Caenorhabditis elegans: one gene and its partner. The protein of the gene in region 2 interacts with the protein of the main gene of each other region in a pairwise test. Each region holds a gene or a part of one and is shown on either strand. Other genes may lie near its edges.

What was found. Proteins that work in one complex are often made in the same cells at the same time.
Region 1: the proteins of Y106G6H.14 (region 2) and F59E12.9 interact in a two-hybrid assay, tested with the Caenorhabditis elegans proteins (2 studies listed by BioGRID).

Annotation. Positions count from the first base shown.
Region 1 is NC_003280.10:5,639,863-5,648,776, forward strand, and holds F59E12.9 (TFIIS central domain-containing protein), read right to left. Parts: upstream 7,181-8,914; 5' UTR 7,176-7,180; coding exon 7,086-7,175; intron 7,039-7,085; coding exon 6,966-7,038; intron 6,919-6,965; coding exon 6,483-6,918; intron 6,063-6,482; coding exon 5,766-6,062; intron 5,714-5,765; coding exon 5,630-5,713; intron 5,583-5,629; coding exon 5,456-5,582; intron 5,403-5,455; coding exon 4,743-5,402; intron 4,409-4,742; coding exon 3,598-4,408; intron 3,064-3,597; coding exon 2,686-3,063; intron 2,639-2,685; coding exon 1,763-2,638; intron 1,680-1,762; coding exon 873-1,679; intron 801-872; coding exon 574-800; 3' UTR 201-573; downstream 1-200. Other genes in the region: ddl-1 (WASH complex subunit homolog 3), read right to left, coding at 7,344-7,502, 7,553-7,918, 7,968-8,012; sam-4 (BLOC-1-related complex subunit 5), read right to left, coding at 8,326-8,547, 8,666-8,873.
Region 2 is NC_003279.8:10,470,576-10,476,351, forward strand, and holds Y106G6H.14 (Osteoclast-stimulating factor 1), read right to left. Parts: upstream 2,815-5,776; 5' UTR 2,814-2,814; coding exon 2,718-2,813; intron 2,671-2,717; coding exon 2,553-2,670; intron 2,282-2,552; coding exon 2,067-2,281; intron 2,013-2,066; coding exon 1,878-2,012; intron 1,830-1,877; coding exon 1,731-1,829; 3' UTR 1,621-1,730; downstream 1-1,620. Other genes in the region: duo-3 (ubiquitinyl hydrolase 1), read right to left, coding at 1-5, 252-481; Y106G6H.13 (Reverse transcriptase domain-containing protein), read left to right, coding at 936-1,352; ska-1 (SKA complex subunit 1), read right to left, coding at 3,025-3,198, 3,248-3,720, 3,775-3,859; Y106G6H.16 (Dynein light chain), read left to right, coding at 4,338-4,415, 4,489-4,593, 4,643-4,726, 4,776-4,922; row-1 (C2H2-type domain-containing protein), read right to left, coding at 5,098-5,179, 5,228-5,322, 5,366-5,473, 5,674-5,776.

The DNA of each region.
Region 1 (8,914 bases), on a different chromosome or scaffold from region 2:
AATTGTAATTCATTCTTTGCCCGAGAGGAGTATATGACCGAGAATCTCAAAACACTTATTTGTGCGCGACTTCAAATTAGATGAACAAAGAGGTTGATGTTCGGAACTTTTATCTAACATAGTTCCCATGAGCAAAATTCGAAGAGTTGTCAATCACTATGTAATTGGCATTTTCATTTAAAAAAACAGAAAGAAACCTTAATCAACTCATCACTTTATTAAGCGAAAAGCGGTAAGAAATTGAAACACAAAAAAAGGAACGGGCTGTGAGAAGGGAGAAAAGGGATGAAGCTGTACTTTTATCAAGACATCAAGTTATATATAAAATTATGAATTAAAAATCTGACGGAGAGAAGGTGATACACGTAAGAGAGCAGAGAGAACAGGAGAATCGAAATAAACTTATGAAAATTGGCACATAATGCATCATTTTAGAACCTAAGAAGCCAAGTGATATATACTAATTGGTGGAGTATATTCGTCAGTCATTGTTTTTTGTACCGGTCATGTAAAAAGTGAACGAGAGCTATAAATTGGGCAGGCAGGTAAACAGGTGAAGGTGAACGGGGATAATCAAAATCTGCTGGTCCATTCGACTGACGGTGGTGGCGGTCCTCCGTTTGGTGGGGGCGGGCCAGGCGGCGGCATACCCAGACGAGGTGGGGGTCCTCCCATCAATGGTGGTGGTCCTTGACAATGTGATCCTCCGCGTGGAGGAGGTGGACCTCCTCTCCAACCGTTCATACCACCATGTGGGGGTGGTAAACCACCCATGGGTGGACCTCGATTTTGTGGAGAATCTGAAATTAGCATATTTTAAAACAGAAAAAGACTTTTCAAAGTATTCTTCAGATATCAATTACTAAACTCACCATGATAATATTGAGATGGTCCCATTCCAGGTCCTCCGCCTCTTTGAGGAAAACCGCCTCTCATTGAGGATCCTCTCATCATTGGAGATGGCATTCCTCTTCCTGGACCAGGTGGACCTCCGCGGAACATTGGCGGTCCTCCTCTCATAGGTGGTCCTCCTCGCATCGGTGGCCCTCCACCTCGCATTGGTGGTGGCATTCCTCTCATTGGAGAATTCATTCCTCTCGGCGGTGGTGGTCCACCTCTCCCTCTCATCATTCCGAGTGGTGGCATTCCACGCATCGGTGGACCTCCTCTCCATGAACCTTCATGTCCTCCCATCACTGGCGGAGGCATTGAATACTGATTTTGAGATGGTGGCGTTGGTACGTTCCTATCGATATCATCTGAACCGTTATCAGTATGCCCATTATTAGCGGTCGGCAACGGATTCTTCTTTTCCTCGCTGGGAAGAGGAGGTGGAGGAGGTGGCAATATCATTGATGGTGAGAACAATGGAGGTGGTGGTGGAACTGGAAGAGGTACACCAGTTGGAGCCTTACTCATCGTCGGCGGTGGAGGTGGAGGAGGTGGAACCGGCGTAAGATCATCAGATGGAGGAGGTGGAGGTGGAGGTGGCGGAGGCGGTGATGGGGAAGAACTTCTACTCGTTGAGAAACTATCCGAATCCTCATGATTGGCTTGGATGTGTTCATTTGTGTTCCGACGATTTCCTCGCCGATTATTTCGCTTTTTAGAGCTATTCTTCGGTGGAGCAGGACAGGATTCGGAAGGTTGTGGTGGATCAGATCCGTTTTGAGGAGGAGCTGTAAATCACAGAGTTTATTGGAATTATTCATAAATGGTGAATTTGAAATCATGAAGTTTCTTACTAAAGAAAAAAAATTACCTGTATCCATTTGCAAAAGAGGGTGATTTGGACGAGGTCTCATCATGGAATGATCGCGTCTCTCCATGTCTCTTTCCATCATATCAGTTCCATTATGGAACGGTGGTGGTGGTCTATATCCACCTCTTCTTATATTTCTTCTTTCTTCGACTTCATCCATATCTTGTGCAAATCGTTTTTCCATCTGAATCCGTCTATTCATTTCCATCAACTTTCTCATATCGGCTTCAAGTGATGATCCAGTGAGCACACTTGCTGTGAGCGCAGGTTGTGATCTATCTCTGATGTGCCCGGGACCGGATCCCATAAGAAGTTCCTGTGGAATCGGAGCAACCATCCCTCGTCGGATCGCATCGGCCACTATTTCATTATCCGTCATTCCGAGTCCTTCGAGGAACTGAGGTTGCTGAGATTGTGTTGAAGTTGCTGTCGGAGGTGGTGGTGGAACCGGTGGAGGAATTGTGAACGGTGTTGGAACAGGTACCGGAGCAGCCACAGGAACTATGTGCGATGCCATTGGAGTGACACTTTGAGCCGTCATCGGATGCTGAGATTGAACTGCAGCAGACGATGATGGAACATCCATGGAAGCAGTGACAACATGAGGTGCCGCCGATTGTTGAGAGAAGATTGGAGGTGGACGGCTGAAGTCGAGATTCGAGCGAGAAGGAACTTCGGCGCCATTGAGAGTTTGCTCGCTTATAGATGGTTCTTCCAAATCATCGCTAGTCTGAGTCTTCTGCTTCATCTTTTCAGCCTTTTTAAGTGCTTTCTCCTCATCAATTTTCTCTTGTATAATTTGCTTGATCTTATCTTTATCAGAATCCGAAACATCTGGATCCATCATAAAATCCTTTGCAGATGCAACGATCTCTTCTGAAAAAATATTTAAAATTTTTGAATATATAGGAAAGTTTACTCACTAATTTGTTTCGCGCTGCTCACAATTTGCAGGATAAATTTAACTTTCTTGGAAGCCAAATCTTCAGAAGTAGATGGTGTCGAATGATTAACTGCTTCAGAAGTTGCATCTTCAGCATCTTTAGAACATATTTTTGGGGATATTGAAGCTCTACTATCCTTTTTCCACGTTTCTTTTTCTTCATTTTCTTGAGTCTGTTGTCTCCAAGATGTTTGCATCAACTTCTCCCGTTCAATCCGCAACAGTTGAGATTTCATTTCAAGATCACACACTCTAACAGAATATTGAAAGCGTTCAGCAAAATTTGGACGTAGAACAACGATCAGCATGAAACAATTTTCTGTTGTACCAATGTTGTATTTGACTGGTGCAAATGTATCTGAAAATTATTATTTTTAGTTTTTTTTTTTCAAAAAATATGTTTTTTGGAAAATTGATATACTTTAAAAGAAGAAAATTGTATATTTATCATTTTTTTCATAAAAAAAACTTTGTCAACGTTTTTGAATTTCTCGTTACTTTTTTTACAAAATTTTTCGATTTTTTAGATTTTCGAGAAAAACGAAAATAGGTAGGTTTTTCCGATTTTTAGAAAAAAAACATTGTTTTTTTTTAGAAAAAATTAGCTGAAAACTTTGTTTTTTTTTTAGAAAAAGTTGTATGTAAAATTTTTCGATTTTCTATTTTTCAATTTATCGACTTTTCGATTTTCTCTGAACAAAAATTTCAAAATTGGACAACTTCTCGACAACACTTCGTATATTGTAATGTTTTATTACATTTTTTAAGAATTATTATTAATTTAAAAAAAAAATATATATATATATAATTATTACTTTAAAAAATTTTTTTATTGAAAATAGATGTCGAGACCTGATACAGTATTTTTTGAGACAAAAGTCAAAAAATTTACCATGCAATATTTCGGATCCTCTATGCGGAAAAAGAAAAACCGAAAGAATCTCATCTCCAACCGTGAAATCGAGCTGATATACAGTATCCTGATCCAAATTGTAATCCAAAACCTTCTGATAACTGTTCGAAGTACCAGCAGAAGTCAGTTTGAGCACAGCAAATGCACATGATCTAGTATCATTCATTGCATTATTAGATTCTATTAGAAACTCTTGTAAACGACGAGGAGTGTGCAAATTGAATGTCTTCTCAGCGAGATATCTATCGAATTGACGGAATAGTGGACGATTTTCATCGGATTGAGCAAAAATTGGAGTAGCAATTGAATCAAATGGCTCATCAGCCATGTAGATTCGTATCGGAAATTCCCATTCACTTCGAGTTTCGACTCTTTCTCGCATGTCTACATCCTTTTCTTCATTTTTATTTGAATCGGAAGGCCCTTCGAAATCATATACTGGTGTAAAAGATCCACCACCAAAGTCATTATCATCTTGATCTTGATCTCTTTCCTCACGTCTTTTCTGCCTCTGTTTCTCCCATTCATCTCGTTCTTCAGCTTTCCTCCGATGCCTTGATTCTTCTTCTCGTTTCCGTCGTTCCATTTCATCCTGACGCATAGCTTCTCGAAGTTCACGATTTCTCTCCCGCCGCTCTTCCAGATCACGTTCTTCTTTTTGCTTCCGAAGCTTTTCTTCAGCATCCGCCAGCTGCTTTGCTTGACATATTTTGCAAGTTTTTGAGAATGCGTGAGACATGTGCTCGCCGGTCGTATCACGAGAATCATCTCCTATGATTGAATCGAGTGGCTGAAAATTAATGAATATTACCCAGACGCAAAACATTGTCAATTTTGATCCAAAAATACGGTAACCGGTCTCGTCACGATAAATTGGTATTAAATGAAGAATAATTTATTTATTTACAATAAACTTTGATATAAAAAGAAAATCACATAAATTTTACAACTCGCGAGAAAAGTTAAGAAAAATCAATAAAGATTCTGCAGTAACACAAGTTTGAAACTACAGTACTCTTTAAACTTTAAAGTTTAAAGGCGCACACCTTGTCATATTTAATCAAAATTTGCCGTGTCGAGACCGGGAACCGTACTCTTGGAGCAAAATTTTTGAAATAACTCACATTTTTTGATGCATTTGACCTTCTTTTAGCTTGAGTTAATCCGCCGACTGGCTTTATCTTCCAGCACATTGGATTTCTCAAAGAATTCGCATCCAATGCAATCAATTTTTCCACAGATAATCGTTTTAACACAACCGCCGTCACGAAATCCTTGGCACTTTCAGCTTCAAAATTGTGAATGAACTGCTGTTTCCAGACACGATATTTAGGATGAGAAATGTTACGATCACATTTATCAAATAACATTTCTTCGAGTTGATCAACAAGATCTTTCATTTCCTTCCGATCAATTCCTTTTAACTTCATCCTATCAATTCGAGCAACGACAGCGGTCTCCATATGAGTTCGATTGGCTTGTCGCAAAGAATTCGTGGTTTCTGGCTTCTTTTTGGGAATCGGTTTCGAAAGAGCAGCTATTTTCTTTTCTCTATCTTTTGCTTTTTCCTTTTCTCGTTCAGCTTCTTTCTCCTTTTCTTTTTCCTTCTTTTTTATTGCTTCTGGATCCAATGGCTCTGGATTTTTACTCGGTACAGTACTGAACGGCATCCAATTCGGAGCAAGAAGGAAAAATGAGCAAAGTTCGCGTGAATACACACCCGACGAAACAGTCTCTCCAGTCAATGCATTCATTACTGTAATAGTTTCAGCATTGGGATTCGTCTGAAAGTAAAATATGTTTAGATAAAATTAAAATTAAACTAAAAAAAACAAACCCTCATAACTTTTTCTACTTTTCCAGCAACGCATTTCACTGAACAGTAGTAACTACTGGCTCCCAAATAATGTTTCCACGTCTCCTCCGTCACCATAGACAACATCTTGTCGCAATTTACACATTTACTGAAACAATGAAAAATTATTTATGATACAACAAGAATTTAACATACTTTCGAAGATGAGAAGTGCTAGGCGACTCATTTATTGGAGGTATCCACTTTTTACGTGCTTCCTGATAAAGTGCTGATAACGGCCTGAAAATTGAAAAAAAAATTAAAATTTGATAGATATTAAAAATCAACTAACGTTTGATATGTCAGTATGAATGGGCAAACTTCAGAATCGCAAGTGAGCAATTGCTCTTCAGGGAATAATTTTATCTCGTCAAGATATGTCTGTGATTGACCATACTCTTTCAATAGATCGCGTTCCTCCAGAAAATCATTAAATTCCTTTAACTCGGCGTGTGTTGTTGAAATGCAATTGTATTCGGTTATAAGATCTTTACGTGACTTTCCACTGCAATCAATGTGCTGAAGATGTTTCTGATTGATTTGAAAAGAGCTTGAAGATGGTTGAGTAGAGGAATCACGTCTATTCCGTCTGAAATTATATATTTTTAGTGAAGAATATAATTTTTTTGGCGATGAAAAATTTGGAATTTGTAGCTGTCAAAATAATTCGTAATGAGACTTCTCAAAAATTACTCAATACTTTTTTATTGGGTTCAAAATTGGGAGGAATGCTAATTTTTGCTAGAATCTACAATTTTTCCCAGCGGCCTGGTTTTTTTTAATTAGAAAAAATACTACAGGTCAACTTTTTTTGGAAAAAGGGGAGATTTTACTAAAAACATAAAATCCTAGTTTTTCGAAACTTCAAACCGAGAAACCTCATAGCTAAATTAGTTTATTTTTGCACAATTTGTTCGACATATTTATGAATTATTCTGCTCATTAAAAGGTAAAAAAGTATTTTTTAATATTTTGGAAAACCGAGTTTTTAATTTTAAAAAATGCGTACTTTTCTAACAAAGCAGGTTTATCGTCATCATCACTATCCACAGAAATCTCTTTCCGTTTCCTTTTTCGTTCAGCTTCAACCTCAGCCTCTCGTTTTCTTCGTTTCGAAGCAGCCTCCTCTGCTTTTCGATTTCTTTCTTCCAGCTCTTTCTGTCTTTGTTTTTCTTTTTTCGCCTTCTTTCTTTCCTCTTTCGCCCTTCTTTCTTCCTCCTCTTTTTCTTTTTTCTTCTTCATTTCCTCCTCTTTTCCATCATCTCCCACATCCTCGTCAGAATCATTCTCCAGCGCCCTTTTCGACCTTTTACGTTTTGAAGATGATGAAAAATCTGCCGAATCAGAATCTGAATCGTCCAAATAATTCAAAATTGGAGGTTTTTCCTTCTTCTCGCTTTTCCGACGTTTCTCTTTCGACTTTGGTGTAACTTCCACGTCATCTTCTGAAAAACTGCCGATAGTCTAATCATTTATTCGAACGGTCGCTCACCTTGTTTTTCCCTTTTATTTTTCTTTTTCTTCCCAGGACGTTCACCTTTCATAAGTGCAAGAGCGACAGGAGCCTAAATTTCAAATAAAGTTTCCATGTGATATTAATTTAATAACTTACAGATTTCATGATGGCATTTTTGAGTAGTTCACCCATGGCTGGGCTCACAAGTTCTGCTTGTGGCGTAGTTACATTTGAATGTGATTTCATTTTGTCTGAAAGGGAAATTAGTATGTATATTATATCAATTTTAAAAAAATGAATAGAAGTATATCATAATCGTTAAAACGAGTTAACAGTGTAGTACATCATATTCCGAAAATTAAAAAATAATGTTTTATACATTTTATGAACCCGTAAAAATATACAAAAAATAAATTAATCAGAGTCAGAGAAGGATGCCGTAGATTCTCCAGAAGATTCATAATTCCGTGAAGTCTGTGCCTGTGGACGAGATGGTTCATCACCGCGTTTCAAAATTGATGGGTCGACGCCTTCGGATTTCATTTTCTGTATTACACCAGCTTCAAGCACTCCCTAAAAAAAATTACAGTATTATTAAAGCAATTTCAAGTGGATAAACTCACCAATTTCAGCATTTTGAAATATTTACTATAAGCCGGGTCGTCTTTGATAAGAACCGTCGTAGTATGTTCTTCTGGTTTCTCTTCCACTGTTTCCTCCACGATTTGTGAAGAGCTGGGATTCGATTCGTGAATTTCGTCTATTTCTGGTGCTGATGATGGTGTGGCGGTGGTTGATTTATCCTCCAAACTCATTCCTGCCAATTTCGATTCCATCAAGCGTAACTTTCGATCGGCAGTGTCTAAACTCTGCTCTGCCTTTTCCAAAATGTCTTCCATTTTATTTCCGAAATTATTGAGCATTTCTGTCATTTTCATGATGAGACAGTTGAATGTTACTGCTGTACGGTGATGATCGATCGGAGGAACCTTAAAAAATTTAGCTTTAAAGTTTTATGATGAGATTTTAAGATATTACCTTGTTCAAATCGATTGCAGGTTTGGTTCTGGAGCTCGCATTCATTGCTGGTGATCTAAAAATTAATTAATGATGCAATTAATTACAAGAAATGGAAATATGAAAAAGGCACAAACCATATAAGTTAGATTCAAAGTAAATTAATTAGATTAATTTGCGAAAAATACTAGAATTTATGATAAATTTAGAAATCAAAATAGGATTGACGGATAAATATGTGCATGAACTAAATAAAAAATCACAAAACGGCAATGGAATTTTGATATTGCGAGAAGAAAGTGAGATAAAGCCTTCAAGACTTTTTGGGAAGGGCGATAGGGCAACAGATTCAAGAAGAGAATAAAAATTTACAAATTAATTATTTTGGTAGATCAACTACGCGGATTTCTTCAATCGGCTCAATTTGATCAATATGACCAATATTTTGATTATGGCGGGGCGTACTTTGAAGTGAGCTATCACTGCTTGGAACGGGAGATCTGTCGAGCACTGAGCCAAGATTAAGAGGAGGAAGACGTTCGTCGGGAGTTAGAATTTCATTAAGCGTTTCAACCATTGGCACAATATCTTCAAGAATTATCTGAAAATTAATTTTTGATAAACGGAGCAAGTTTTTTGAGCAAAAATGTAAGGTGCAACATTTTAAAAATCAATTTTGGTATGATGCATTAAATATTGTTTCTTTTTCTAATTCGCACCTGAATACTACAGATGTCATCGTGCAATTGATTAAGTCCGCTCAATGCAGCCATAAAACCGTCATGTTGTTCTTTATGAGCTCTTGTTTCTTCAATAAGTCTGATCATTTTCGCTTCAACACTCTTGCAAGTTGCTGGAATTTTAGCTTGATCTGCTGCCACTGCTTTCGCATTAACGGCAAAATGTTCTTGTAATCGTGTTGCTAGTCTGAATATGTGACTTTAAAACTTTGAATAAAAGGAATAAAT
Region 2 (5,776 bases):
TATAACTGAAAATTATATTTATTAATTGAGAGTGTGATTTTAAGTTTGAGATTATTACTAATTTTCACTTTAAACAGAAATTCTGGAATATTTGTAAATTGGCAAGAAATTATCGAAAATTAAAGAGAAGTATCTTTACAATGGTATTTTATAGATATAGCAGGCCGCAAAAATGTTTTTTGTAGAATTTCAATTCTAAAGGAGCGATTTTTTTAAAAATATGATATTTCATTTAAAAAAAATTAAATCACCTTTCTTCGCACTGTTTATTCAACTCAATGTTCAACAATTTGGCTCCCGTATGTGAATTATCCGCTATCGGCTTGTACATCATTTGTGTATAGTAATACTCTTTGTCTCCTCCTCCGGGACACCTGAATCTGATAGAATCCGATGTGAATTCGATTTGTCTCTTCAACATTCTTATAGGTGTGATGCGAGGTCTTGTGATGGTCACGTCAATAAAGAAGTTTTCCAGCATCTGAAAACAGGATATTTAAATATATTTTAACGTTGAAATTTGAAACAAAAGCAAAATAGTAATTATTATACATACGTGACATTCTAATTGCTTATCAATAAAACTAATCTGGCAAAAAAAATCTCCCCTCCCGTGAAGTGAAATCGAAAATCAAATTATTTCGATTTTAGTCCAACCCTAGGAACACATTTCGATTCGCATCAAGTAAGTGCTTTAACAGGAAATTCTGTGAAGGCAAGCGGTAGCTGAGATCAGTGGCAAGAAGAATTTCTTTAGAACATCCTAAAGAGCTGCTGAAACTCTTTGACTGAAATTTTGTGATGTGCTGGTAGGAGATTCTTCTAGCCACTGCTATTTTCTAACATTTATTTCTTCTTGATATTCCACTATAATCGGAATCTCCTATCTAATATTCATTTAAAAAAATGAATAAGTATTTTGCAGCTCACTCAAGATGGCATACGTCGAGAGCTTCTACATGGATGCTAGTTTGGAGAGCGACGCCGACGTTCTTCCAGCATCGGAGAGTGATATGTTTGAGGCACAATTCATTGCCGATGTCCCACTCGACGGCGACGCGATCATTCGTATCGTTGATTCACAACTCGCTTTTGAGCAACGCAACCACGTTGTGTCGGACTATTGCACCATGAAGGCCGCGGAGCTCGAGAAGAACCCGAATCAACTGACAATGAACAGCTCAGTTATGGACAATCAGCAATATTTTGCCCCGCCAAAAAGTGAATCGTCGCAATATGCATGGAACACGAATGATGTTGTCTCTTCTCATCATCAATATGCTGCTCAGAGCCCAAACATCTACACCAACGACTATCACACCAGTGAACCATCCGATTATGCCTATATATAACTTGATGGAATGAGTAAACATTTGTATTTTGGGTTTCTGTATTTACTCGTTATTCAGCCGCAAAATTAGAGAAATCTAGACTTTCGCGACGAGACCCAGCTTATCTATTTCAAGGTGGTCGTAGAATCGTTTAATTTAAGACTTCTCAATCCCTATTCACACATTAAAAAGCAAAACTACGATACTTGAATAGCATTAGTTCTGAAATAGAAAGATTAAAAGTAAAGAAAACCTCGATTCAAACGAGTATTTGAAAAAGGAGAATAGAGGGAAAAAAAAGTTTATCACAGGTTGGGCAAAGTTTCAATAAATATCGACAAGTGTTTGAGAAATAATTACAAGATGTCAAAAGGAATAAATATTGCAAATTTAATAGTCTTAATCAGCATCCGAGTCTGACAAATATTCAGCATACTCTTCTTCATTCACACGATCCTCTTTCATTGCTTTGTCTAGAAGAGCAGCGATATCAGCATCCTGGAATTATTTTTTCTATAGAAAACTTCTATAAAAAACAATATTTACTTTTGTCACATCACTCGGCAGCTTTTGATCTTGATTCCTTACAAATGGATTGGCTGACGAAGCGAGAAGAAGTCTCACACATTCCACGTGGCCTTTGTAGGCCGCTGCATGAAGAGGCGTATCACCGAGTTTGTTCTGAAAATTTAATTTTTAGAGATTCGTTACATGTGAAAGAATATTTCAACAAACCTGAACCGAAACTGCAACTTTTGGATCCTTCAACAACGTATCCACTGCTGGCGCGTGTCCACCATGTGAAGCCCAGTAAAGTGGTGTAGCTCCGGACTTATCGAGGGAGTTGACGGATACCCGCTCTCGAAGACATTCAGCCAGCATATCCATATTTCCACGTCGAGCAGCTTCATGTAGGGGATTCGGGAGCTCTTCCACATTCTCACTGATCACTGAAAAAATAAATATTGGAATTTCTAGAAATCTCGATGAACTCGGTGCAGTTTCGAATTATAAAAGAGGAGGAACGACGGTTTTGCAAAATTGAGATGCGGTTTGATGCATGGCCATTTAAAAATGATTTTGTACTAATGAACTGACGAAAAAAGTTCAAAAACAAGTAATTTAACTAAAAACTGTAAAACCATGTGAATTAATCTACGCTTCTCATCGAACCGCGCCGCAGCTTTGCAAAACATTCCTGATTGTGCTGTAAGTATTCACCATAATTAGCTGGAACCAATCCTTTTTTGCCTCCGATGCTTGCTTGGAACCAATCTTTGTTCGGCTGCTCGTCGCTGACGTACATTAGATCTCCTTCACTGAATGTCAGCTCTTGAGCCTGAATTTATTCAATAATTGGGTTGTTTTTTTCAAATTAAAGCTTACAGATCTGGCTTGAAAATCATAAAGTGCTCGATAAACTTTCACTCGTCCTGGCTTTGGAGCTGGTGGTGGTGGAGCCATTGGTCGAGCTGATGACATTCTGATAAATTTTAAAAATGTTGAAAAATTCATATTTCTAATCAGAACAATAATATTTTTAAAGTAGAATATATTCACCAAAACAAAGGTGTAAAAATTGAAGAATAAATTTTTTTGATCATTTGAAGTAGAAATCCGTTTATTAGCTATTTGACAGAGAAATTTAATACGTTGAGACCAGTTTGAAAAATGTACAAATATCGTAAGGAATTTATGGATAATAGAAAGTCAACGGTCCGCATCGTTCTTCTCGAATTCGACGAATGTGACGAAGGCACGGAATTGCTTTGGCAAATGATGGACGAAGACGGTCTTGGAGCATTGGTCGAATGTCGGTTTCTATGAAGAATAACGTTGTTGGAAGTCTCTTTCTTGCTTTCATTTCCTGAAAAATTATAGATTTATTTTCAATAAAACAAGTAAAACAAACTTACAAGTTCTCGCCAATTGTCCAAAACCTCCCTATCGCTCCTTGTCAGCTGTTTATTAGTTTTCCCCAGGATTTTGCTCTTTTTCATCAGGAAATCATCCATTTTGCTCACTATTTCATTCATCATTTCCAGCGTTAACCGGCCTAGTTGATACTTTGGAATTGTTTTGAATTCTTCATCCGTTATCTGTGGCACAATTCTGATATCATTTTCTTTCGGTTTAGACGATAATCCTTGTTCATTCGGTTCATTGGTTTCGACAAGAGCAGATGATTCTTTACTTTGAGGTACCAATTGTGATTTCACATCGACAATCGTGGAAGCTTCAACTTTGATTCCGAGAAAATCATTCAATTGACTTTTGGTGCAGTTCATACATGTTTCTTCACAGTTGTTTTCCAATTTTTGTTGATCAAAAGCTGCATCATCTAGTAACAACTTGATATTCTTCATTGTATTCAAGAGAGGGCTGATTGCTGAAAGAAGTGATAATGAAGAATGCGAGAAGTTGTGAAGAAAAGTAAACGTACTTGTTTCAAAATTGGGAATATTTTCTCGACATATGCGGAAATTTTCATCGGTCTCTTCGGTAATCCGATCAATAAACGATTCCATTCTGAAACAGGTAATGTTTTAATTTTTAATTTTTAATATGTTATGTTTTGTAGTATTAGAGATATGTTTAATGTATCAACAATTGAAATTGAATCAACGGAAAAGAGCCAAATTCGATAAAGTCTAATTTTAGGGAAAAAGGAAGCAGTGGCCGTTTCTGCTGGATTTAAGAAATAAAGAATGCAGTAGAGCAAGAAAAAAATCTGTTCCAATTTAATTAAGAAGTTATAGCTAATTAAAAAGATAAAACAATTAAATAAATAAAGACAAGACGGCAAGGAACGATGAGTCATATTCGCGCCGTTTTAATTCAGATATACTTCGAGAGGAGTACACATCCGTGGGCGATAGAGCAGCCACAGTTCGAATTTCTAGGCCACGACCATAAAAGCGAATTTTCAAATTTAGATTTTTATCTTTGTTAGAAACGTTTTTCTACAAAATAACATCATATTTATACCTAACCCAATGAAGATAAATGGAAGAAAAAGACGAATTTGATTTATTTATTGAAAAAGCTGAAGAAGTGGTTCGTCTTTTTGAAAATGGGCAGGACGTGAGTTAATTGATGCGATAACGCGTTATAACACTGAAAAATATTCAGTTTCTCTCATCTTTTAATTTTTCAGGTTCGCAACGAAGCAGAAAAATTGCTCAAAGATGCTCTTTCTGTTGACGCAGAATGTGTTCCGTCCACATGTGTAAAGCCAGATAAAATCTGCAAAATCTTAAATGTGAGTTGTTTTTATTTCAAAAGAGATAAAAAATATATTTAATTCTCAGTATCATATAAATAAAACAAGCTCCCCACCAGTTCAAAGTATTCGAATGCGCCATTTTACTCGATCTCCAACAGAAAATAAAAAAGTAGGAGTCATAAATATCTCAATTTTCTGATAAAATGATTATTTTTCAGATAATAAACACAATAAAAGTACAACCTAACTCGTCTTCATGTCTACGATGCACAGTTTTAATAATAATTTTTACCCTTCTTTGTCTCATAGCTTATCATTTCTACTTTTTGCGATTACCAACACGTTGTCCTCGGCCAACGTGGTGAATGGCTTTATAAATGTACAGCAATTTGTTCAAGACATTTGTAATTCATTCAAAATAAGCATGGAAAAGATCGAAATGTGATTCAATGGGAAAACATAATGAAGTAGAGTTTTTAACCGTGGAGAAAAATCGATACAAATAATAGTATCATAATGAGGAGATCAAGCGAGATCGAATCAGTCTTCGGTAGTGACGGCACTCGCCGTGCACTTTTCCATAATTTCCAAACTTTTGTCGTGGTTTTTAGAGAGCATTTTTCTGTAAAAAATGTATTGTATATAGAGTTAGGAAGAAGAAATTACGTACAATAGTGGTAAATCATCAATTGGCTGGTAAACAATATCTTCAAGAATTGGTAAAGGATCTCCTCTCTCCAAATGAATTTTTCGAAGTGTTGCTTCCTGAAAAAAACTTTCCAGTTTAACACGATTGTTTTTAACGTACTTCAGTTTCTGCTTCAGTGTTTGTTGGTTGTGGATATACAGCGAAAAGTTCGAGTTCTTCTTTCGGATCACTTCCCAGCCGGACAATTTCCCGTTTTCTTTCGATATCCTACAATAAAAACATTATATTTTGAAACAAGTCATATATAAGGAAGTGTAAAAATCTACAAAATGGCCCGTTTTGAAATTTTAATGTAACTTTTGACTCGAAGGCTACTGTAGAAATATAGAAAAATGATTAAATTATTTTGCCGAAAAAAAAACGTTGTAGATTTTTTCGCACACTCTTGACACAAAATTCAATCATACATTTATAGACCGACGACATTTGTGATAATGTGATGCTGTTCGGTTCCCATTCCACGACTTGAAGCCACATTCACATTCGAACAGAGTATCCCCAGTAGTCGTC